Sus scrofa: one gene and its partner. The protein of the gene in region 1 interacts with the protein of each later gene in a pairwise test. Links are inferred from orthologs where the notes say so. Each region holds a gene or a part of one and is shown in the gene's direction. Other genes may lie near its edges.

The links. The genes of interacting proteins can lie anywhere in the genome.
Region 2: the proteins of CCDC102B (region 1) and POP5 interact in binary tests that used the Homo sapiens proteins (3 or more experiments, as listed by UniProt). The two-hybrid records come from large-scale screens. The link is inferred for Sus scrofa from reciprocal best matches to the Homo sapiens genes CCDC102B and POP5.

The regions. Positions count from the first base shown.
Region 1 is NC_010443.5:153,887,954-153,891,601, reverse strand, and holds part of CCDC102B (coiled-coil domain-containing protein 102B), read left to right. Parts: intron 1-1,941; 5' UTR 1,942-1,957; coding exon 1,958-2,563; intron 2,564-3,648. UniProt on the Homo sapiens protein: During interphase, forms fibers at the proximal ends of centrioles to maintain centrosome cohesion. During mitosis, dissociates from the centrosome following phosphorylation to allow centrosome separation. Contributes to CROCC/rootletin filament formation.
Region 2 is NC_010456.5:40,522,994-40,527,266, reverse strand, and holds POP5 (ribonuclease P/MRP protein subunit POP5), read left to right. Parts: upstream 1-1,332; 5' UTR 1,333-1,444; coding exon 1,445-1,464; intron 1,465-1,537; coding exon 1,538-1,680; intron 1,681-3,081; coding exon 3,082-3,231; intron 3,232-3,414; coding exon 3,415-3,498; intron 3,499-3,600; coding exon 3,601-3,716; 3' UTR 3,717-4,253; downstream 4,254-4,273. UniProt on the Homo sapiens protein: Component of ribonuclease P, a protein complex that generates mature tRNA molecules by cleaving their 5'-ends. Also a component of the MRP ribonuclease complex, which cleaves pre-rRNA sequences.

The DNA.
Region 1 (3,648 bases):
GCAAGGATAAATTTCAGTTTAATATACTGAAATAAATTTCCTATCTTCATTTTGAAATTTCAACAAAAAGAAATATGTTATTAAGTAGTGAAATATGTAAATATAAATATATAATATTTGGTATGCTTCTAATTAAGAGTTTCTCTTTTTTAAAATACTGGTCTTGGTTTACTAGTGGTCTGAGAAATTTGGTCAGTATATTATTATTGTCACTGAATTACAGTAAATGAAAGGAATAATTGCTCCAAGTCAGCACTAGTTCAAATATGATTTGACATAAACTAATGTTAACAAAAATAATTACAACCATGAATCTATATTATTATATTAAGTATTATAATGAGTGAATTGGTTTGACATCCCTACAGAACACTTACTAAAATGTGTTTTTCCACAGCTGAAAGTGGTATACATTTAATATTATATGGTCTTTTTTCAGTCAATAGCAGTTAACTTAGTTGGTATAATGAAACCCCTTCAGTAGATTAAATGGATGGTTCATAAAAAGACAATTTATGATCTGTAACTCTATAAAAGGAAATGGAAAAAAAATGGGAGTAGTTAATATCATGAAGGTAAAATGTTATCTAAGATCATTTACACCAGAAACTCTTTGATAATAAAAATGGGTAATCTTATACAACCACAGAACTTTATTAATTTGTAGATTAACCTGCATGTTTTGAGAATTTATTTTAAAGAAAATGTTCCACTTGCTAATCCTCAATATAGTTATGTTGCTATATTGAATAAAGTGATGGATGTACATACTGATAAGAAAGGTTTGCATTTACCAATTAATTTGTCTTTGCTATTTATATGGAAAGCTGCTTTTAATTCCTTTTTAAAGCTCTGGAATTACTGAGACTCTTTTCAGTGTTGTCTGTGAAGCTACTTTGTTTCTCTAAAACAGTTCATCACTTCTTTAGCAGTACCCCTTAGTGTATCTTGTACACACCAGTGATATGCCTGTCTCATTCACTGGCCTACGAAATCTTTAAGGACACAGATCATGTCTTATTCATAATATTTTATTTTTAGAACTTAAAATACTAACCACAGTAGGAAGTTAATTTATGTGTCAGATGTCATTTTGACAGCAAGTTACAGAAAACTCAACAGTCATAGCTTAAATAAATTTAGGTAATCATTCTCACACAGCAAGGAAACCAGGGGTATGGATTCTATCTTTCAGGCAGCAGCTCCATCATTACACAAAGCTTTTTTCATTCTTCTGTTTCACTATTTTTAATGTTACAGGGTGGCTGTTACATTTACCTTCTTGCAGAATCTTGTCTTTGATCAGGCAGGAGGAGAGCAGAAATAAAAGTGTTTCTCAGTCTGATGATTTCACATTTTTCTGAATGGGAGACTTCTCTAGCAGACTTCCCCTGACCTCTCATCAGTCCGAACCAGGTCACATGCTGCTTTAAACCTATTTATTATCTATTAGGAATGATGAATTAAATGGAGGTTATCCGAAAGGTTTAGACCAATCATAATTTAGCCCCTGGGATTGGAATAGGAGCTTATCCTTCCAAAGATCAATAGATTCTGCCTTCTACCTGAACAAATTGGGCTTTAGTTAGCAGGGGAAAAGGGACCATTGAGAAGTTAATGGACAATATATGTTGCAATAAATATTACCTGAAAAGAACTGGATATGTTGAAATGAATTATTCATGTCCTATGCTATCCCCCGCTGCATCTTTATATATTATTTGTATTTATTTGGCAAATTTAAATAGGAGAAATCTCTGTTTCTTTGAGGGTAATTACAAATGCAGAAATTCCTCTATATTTTTAGCTACAATGGGAAGGGAAATATACAATATTGAAAAAGACACATTGTTTTCATCAACTTCCTTTTTTAAATGTCGGTCTTGCTCTTATAATTGCAGGGGAAATTCGAATGCAATTATGTTCTCTGTCTTTTCTTAGGCCTGAAAAGATAAATATGAATTTAGATTCCATTCGTCGGTTAATTGAGGAAACACAAATCTTCCAGAGGCAGCAGTCATCAGTTAAACCAGCATGTGACCTGGTGGTGCCTGCCTCATCCCCCAGGGACACCTGTGGTCCCTATTTGCCACTTTATGGGCTGCAATCTCATGCCTATCACAACGTCTGTGCTCACTCATGCAACAGTAATGAATGGGATATTTGTGAGGAGCTTCGACTGCGGGAACTGGAGGAGGTCAAGGCCAGAGCTGCTCAGATGGAGAAGACCATGCGGTGGTGGTCAGACTGCACTGCCAACTGGAGAGAAAAGTGGAGTAAAGTTCGAGCTGAAAGGAACAGTGCCAGGGAGGAAGCAAGACAACTCAGGATAAAATTAGAGATGACCATGAAGGAACTGAGTACTCTGAAAAGGAAGCAAAATTTGTCACCTCAAAAGGAGGCTTTGGAAGCTAGAGTTATTCAGGACCTTAAGCTTCCTGGTTTCAGAGATGTGTCCTCTACACAGAGAGACTCAATTCAAATTGGTTCCAAAACCTGTGAGTCCATCAGAGAGTGTTTGGGAAAAAGAGAATTTCCTACCAAGGAGAACACAAAGAGTAAGGTCAGAAAAAATCCAGAGGAATCCAGAGATTTTTTGAATGCTATAGACAGTAATGAGGAGGGAAAGGAAAATAGCAAAACCAGTGGTTACTGTGTTTGTTTGTGTGGGCTGCCAGAACTAACTGCCCACAGACTGGGGGACTTCAGCAACAGAAATTCATTTTCTCAGAGTTCTAGAGGCTAGAAGTCTGAGGTGGGTCAAGGTGTCAGCAGGGCTAGTTTCCTTGGAGGCCTGTCTCCTTGGCTTACAGATAGCTGTCTTCTCCCTGTGTCTCCATATTGTCTTTGTGCATCTTTGTCCAGATTTCTTCTTCTTTTGTGGATGCCATCACTAGGCCCACACTAATTAAGCTCATCTTAACTTAATTACCTCTTAAAGACCCTATCTCCAAACACAGTCACATCCTGAGATATTTGGAGGGGGTTGGGACCTTAACATATGAATTTTAGGGGAGACACAAGTCAGCCTATGTTACTCATACTTTTAGCCAAAATTAACCCAGCATTTTTTAATGTTAAAAGAAAATATTTATGGAGATTTCTCTCCATTTACTCTAGTAAACCATTACTAAGAAATTATCCGTACAGTAGTTTAAACCTTTCCTGAAGGTTGGGACTCTGTCCTCACAATTAATCACTCAAAGATAGGTAACTTAGGCAAATATCTTTAGGGACTGCTTCACACTACCTACTCTTGGAATTTCTTGGTATACTTGAATCTTGAAGTTTCTGAGATTTCTGCACACAATAAAAAATTTTAAAACTTTAATCTAGCAGTTCATACACTTATCTATCAATGAAACACCCCTCCTCCCATATATATATATCTACAACTCATGGAATATACATTTGGAAACTAGGAATTTGTGTTCGCTCTTCAAGTAGAATTAGTTTATATTATTACCTCTTTCTAGTTAATTCTACCTCTACAACCATAAATCAATTAATACCTTGCTCTTCTATAATTGCATCTAAAATGTTAAGCCTTTCCATGATGTATGGGATTTATGGTAGATACAATGTAGATTCCACTGTAAATTAAAAATTTTAAAAGACTGTGGGGAAATGTATTTTATTAGAATAAGG
Region 2 (4,273 bases), on another chromosome or scaffold:
TATAGTCAAATGACAAGAATGAATCTTACAGACATTATGTTGAAAGAAAGGAGCCAGACATGCACGCACACACACACAAATATGCTGCTGGAGATTTACATTTATATAAAGTTCCAGAAGAGAAAAAGCTAATCTGTCATGACAGAAGTCAGAATATAGGCTACTTCTGGGAAGGTTTTTGGCTCGGAAGAGAGCACAGGAACCTTCCTGAGTGTTGGAAATGTTCTATCTCTTAATCTGGGCAGTGGTTGCAAAAGTTTATACATATATAAAAATTCATTGAGTTATGCACTTAATATGCATTTTATGTATGTTATGCCTCAGTTTTTAAAAAGATATTCAATGTGAGGGGAAAGAAGAGTAGTAAACAGTATGATCCTATTCTTAAAAAGAAAATGGAAAATATAAATTATCATACAGTGGAAGGTACATCTCGTACCTTTTTTGTCTCAGGGCCCCTTTCCATTCTTACTAAATTATTGAGGATCCCAAAGAGCTTTTGTTATGTGAAATATATTGATACTCACTATGTTTATTAAAACAGAAATGTTTAAAACACCATGCACAATTCTCTTAGCCATCAGAGCAATGTCAGCACATGTCACTGGCCTCTGGAAAACTTTACTGTCCACTCAGAAAGTGAAAACAGCAAGTAACACCTTAGTGTTACTACAAAAGTAATTTGACCTCGGGGGACTCCCTAAAAGAATCTGGGAAAATCCAGTGGTTCCTGGACTTCACCTGGAAAACCACTGGAACAGGGGTAAAATGTTGGAAGAAAATCCACTACATGATAAATTATTCTCTCTAGGTGCTGGGATTATAACTTATTTTTATTTGCTTCTTTGTGCTTTTCTGTTTAAAAACAAAAACAAAAAACAAACCAAAATAACCAGAAAATATAACGACCACGGATTGTTTTTGCAAAAAAACAAAAAAACAAACAAAAAAAAACAAGCCAATACACCCAACTCCATAAGGTTATTGAAAGGCCTAAACAGTAATAACATATTTGGCTGTATGGAGAAATTAAACCGAGCTCCAAACTGAGAATAAGAGTCCGATTTCCCCTATCAATCCCTGGCCTGGGGGGTGCAAGGTCTTGTGCTCAAATGTTCCACCGTCCAGCTTGGGTACTATGTTGCAAGGTAATGGAACGTCCTGGAGGTTCCAAATGCCTCAGCTGCATCCTAAACAGCAAACTCTGGCGTGGAGCACAACCACTCATCACAACGGGTTCAGTTGAAAGTCTAAGCGAAGAAATGAGCAGGACGCCTGCGCTCGGCAGAGGGAGGCGGAGCTCAAAGGAGACTGACACGGGGCTCCGCCTACATTCTAGTTCCGCCTCCCTCTCTGAGTGGCTGCCAGGCCAACTTCCCATTGGCCGCCGACGAGAAGGCAGACATCCGGTTTGAGTGTCTGGACGCCCGAGGCGGATACGAACATGGTGCGCTTCAAGCACAGGTAAGCAACCCTTATTCCTGTCCCTGCGGTCCTGGCCCCGGCCCAGCACTCACCGCCCTCTCGCCTGCCCCAGGTACCTGCTTTGCGAAGTGGTGTCTGAGGACCCCCGCTGCCGTCTGAATCTGGAGGACCGAGTGCTGGGCGGCCTAGTACGGGACACGATCGCGCGCGTGCACGGAACTTTCGGCGCGGCCGCCTCCTCCATCGGCTTCGCGGGTGCGAGGGTGTTGGGGAACCAGGAGGATGGCGGGATCTGGAGGGAGCAGTGGCCATTGGAGGGAGAAAGAAGGGGCACGGGCGACCTTGGAAGCTGCCAAGCCCTGTGCACCATTTTATGTAGGGTGTCGTCCTTTTTAGGAGTTTCAGAACCCGAGCCTGAGGTCTGCTTGAGTCCAAACTTAAGCGGAGAGCTAATACCAGTAGGCAGTGGGCAGAAAATACCAGTCGGCAGAAACCCCTATACTATTTGACGTGTGGTTTTTGATTGAGTTTAATAGGATGATGAAAACTAAATGAGGAAAGACTTGTATAGTTCCGAGTAAGTTATTTGACGGGTTACTTTGACATCATATGAAAAAAGCATTGTCAGAATTACCCCTGAAAAGCCCTGCATAGGGGCCTGTGAAGTACAGAATACACAGTTGTGTGTATGTGTAAATGCAAGAGAGGACCCTCCTCCACAACCACACTATGTAAATTCATTCCGTTTTTTACCATATGCTTGAAATTGAAATCTGGAGAAGGTAATGTACCTAGAGGCAACCCTTCTACCAAGGTGAGACTCGGTTGCTGGAAGAACCTACATAGCCCAGTTGCAGAACTTGTTTTTCAGCTAAGGGAAAACATCCTTCTGAAGAGTATGGATTTCTGCCACCCCCCTCCTTGGGTTAACTAGTTTGTGAATTAAAAGTGCATTTTAGGAGTTCCCTTTGTGGCTCAGCAGTTAAGGAACCTGACTAGGATACAGGAGGATGCATATTAGACCTCTGGCCTCTCTCAGTGGGTTAAGGACTCAAGGTTGCCCTGAGCTGTGTAGGTGGCAGAGGCAGCTTCGATCCCGAGTTGCTGTAGCTGTGACATAGGCCTGCAGCTTTAGCTGATTCAACCTCTAGCCTTGGAACTTCCATATGCCATGGGTGTGGCCCTAAAAAGCAAAAAATTAAATTCTAAATTCATTCACCAATTCTGAGTGGTATGTAAAGGCCCTAGATGTTATTTATCTCCCATTATTTTCCTTCAGAAATCAGTTTTTACTCATTGATGGCATCCCAAGTGCCACCGCCTTGAATGTTTTCTGGTACATAGGCTCTCAGTTACCTGAAGATTTTTTTTTTTTTTTGCTTTTTTTAGGGCTGCACCCACAGCATGTGGAGGTTCCCAGGCTAGGGGTCGAATCGAAGCTACAGCTGCCAGCTTACACCACAGCCACAGTCTACACCATAGCTCATGGCAACGCCAGTTCCTTAACCCACTGAGCAAGGCCAGGGATCGAACCAGCAACCTCATGGTTCCTAGTCAGATTTGTTTCCGCTACGCCATGACAGGAACTTCTACCCTAAGATTTTAAACGTGCTCCTGAGAATCCATTTTCCCAAAATGATTTTTTTCCTGCTGCAGTGCGATACCTCAATGCCTATACCGGAATAGTGCTACTTCGATGCCGGAAGGAATTCTATCGGCTCGTGTGGTCAGCTCTTCCCTTCATCACATACTTGGAGAACAAAGGACACCGTTATCCGTGTTTTTTTAACACCTTACACGTGGGAGGTAGGGGTGCATGTGTTATGGCTGCTGATTTTCAATAGGAAACAGGTTCAGAGTTCAGTCTTCAATAGTGGGTGGGTCCTCCTGCTACCTTGCCAAGAGCAAGATAATTTTTCCTAGCTCTGCAAGACTCTGAGGCAAACACCTTTTGCGAGCTGTTGACTGCAAAGCTCTTTCTTGTGTCAGGTACAATTAGAACATGTCAGAAGTTCCTCATTCAGTACAATAGGAGACAGCTGTTGATTTTGTTGCAGAACTGCACTGATGAAGGTAAGCCCTGCTAGCCCCGTGCCCACTGAGCAGTGACTGACCTCCTCCAGCTGAATGAGAGGTCACTTCCAGAGACTTTAATAATCCATGCTCTTTCTCCAGGAGAGCGGGAAGCTATCCAGAAGTCTGTTACAAGAAGCTGTTTACTAGAAGAGGAGTCCACTGGGGAGGAGCTTTCAGATAGTGGCGGTGAGGAGGCTGCTGAGACAATGGAGTGAACTTTTGCAGGCTGCGTTGCGCCTAAGCTTCAGGGCCTACTTGTTGGACAGGGAATTCTGGGAGGCACTAGCACCTTCTACAGTTCTCAAACTGGATGACTGCTGATCAGTGGCCAGTTACCAGCTCAAAATGAATTGACTTATTGTTTAAAACTTGCCGGAGTTCCCGTCGTGGCGCAGTGGTTAACGAATCCGACTAGGAACCATGAGGTTGCGGGTTCGGTCCCTGCCCTTGCTCAGTGGGTTAACGATCCGGCGTTGCCGTGAGCTGTGGTGTAGGTCGCAGACTCGGCTCGGATCCCTTGTTGCTGTGGCTCTGGCGTAGGCCGGTGGCTACAGCTCCGATTCGACCCCTAGCCTGGGAACCTCCATATGCCGCGGGAGCGGCCCAAGAAATAGCAACAACAACAAGACAAAAAAATAAATAAATAAATAAATAAAATAAAACTTGCCAAAGTCACCTTTACCCAGCATTACCTGGTTAAGTAGTTCTGCAGGTGGTGAAGTTCCTGTAGATATATACATCTTTTTATCTAATTGCCTGGCTGCAAGCAGGT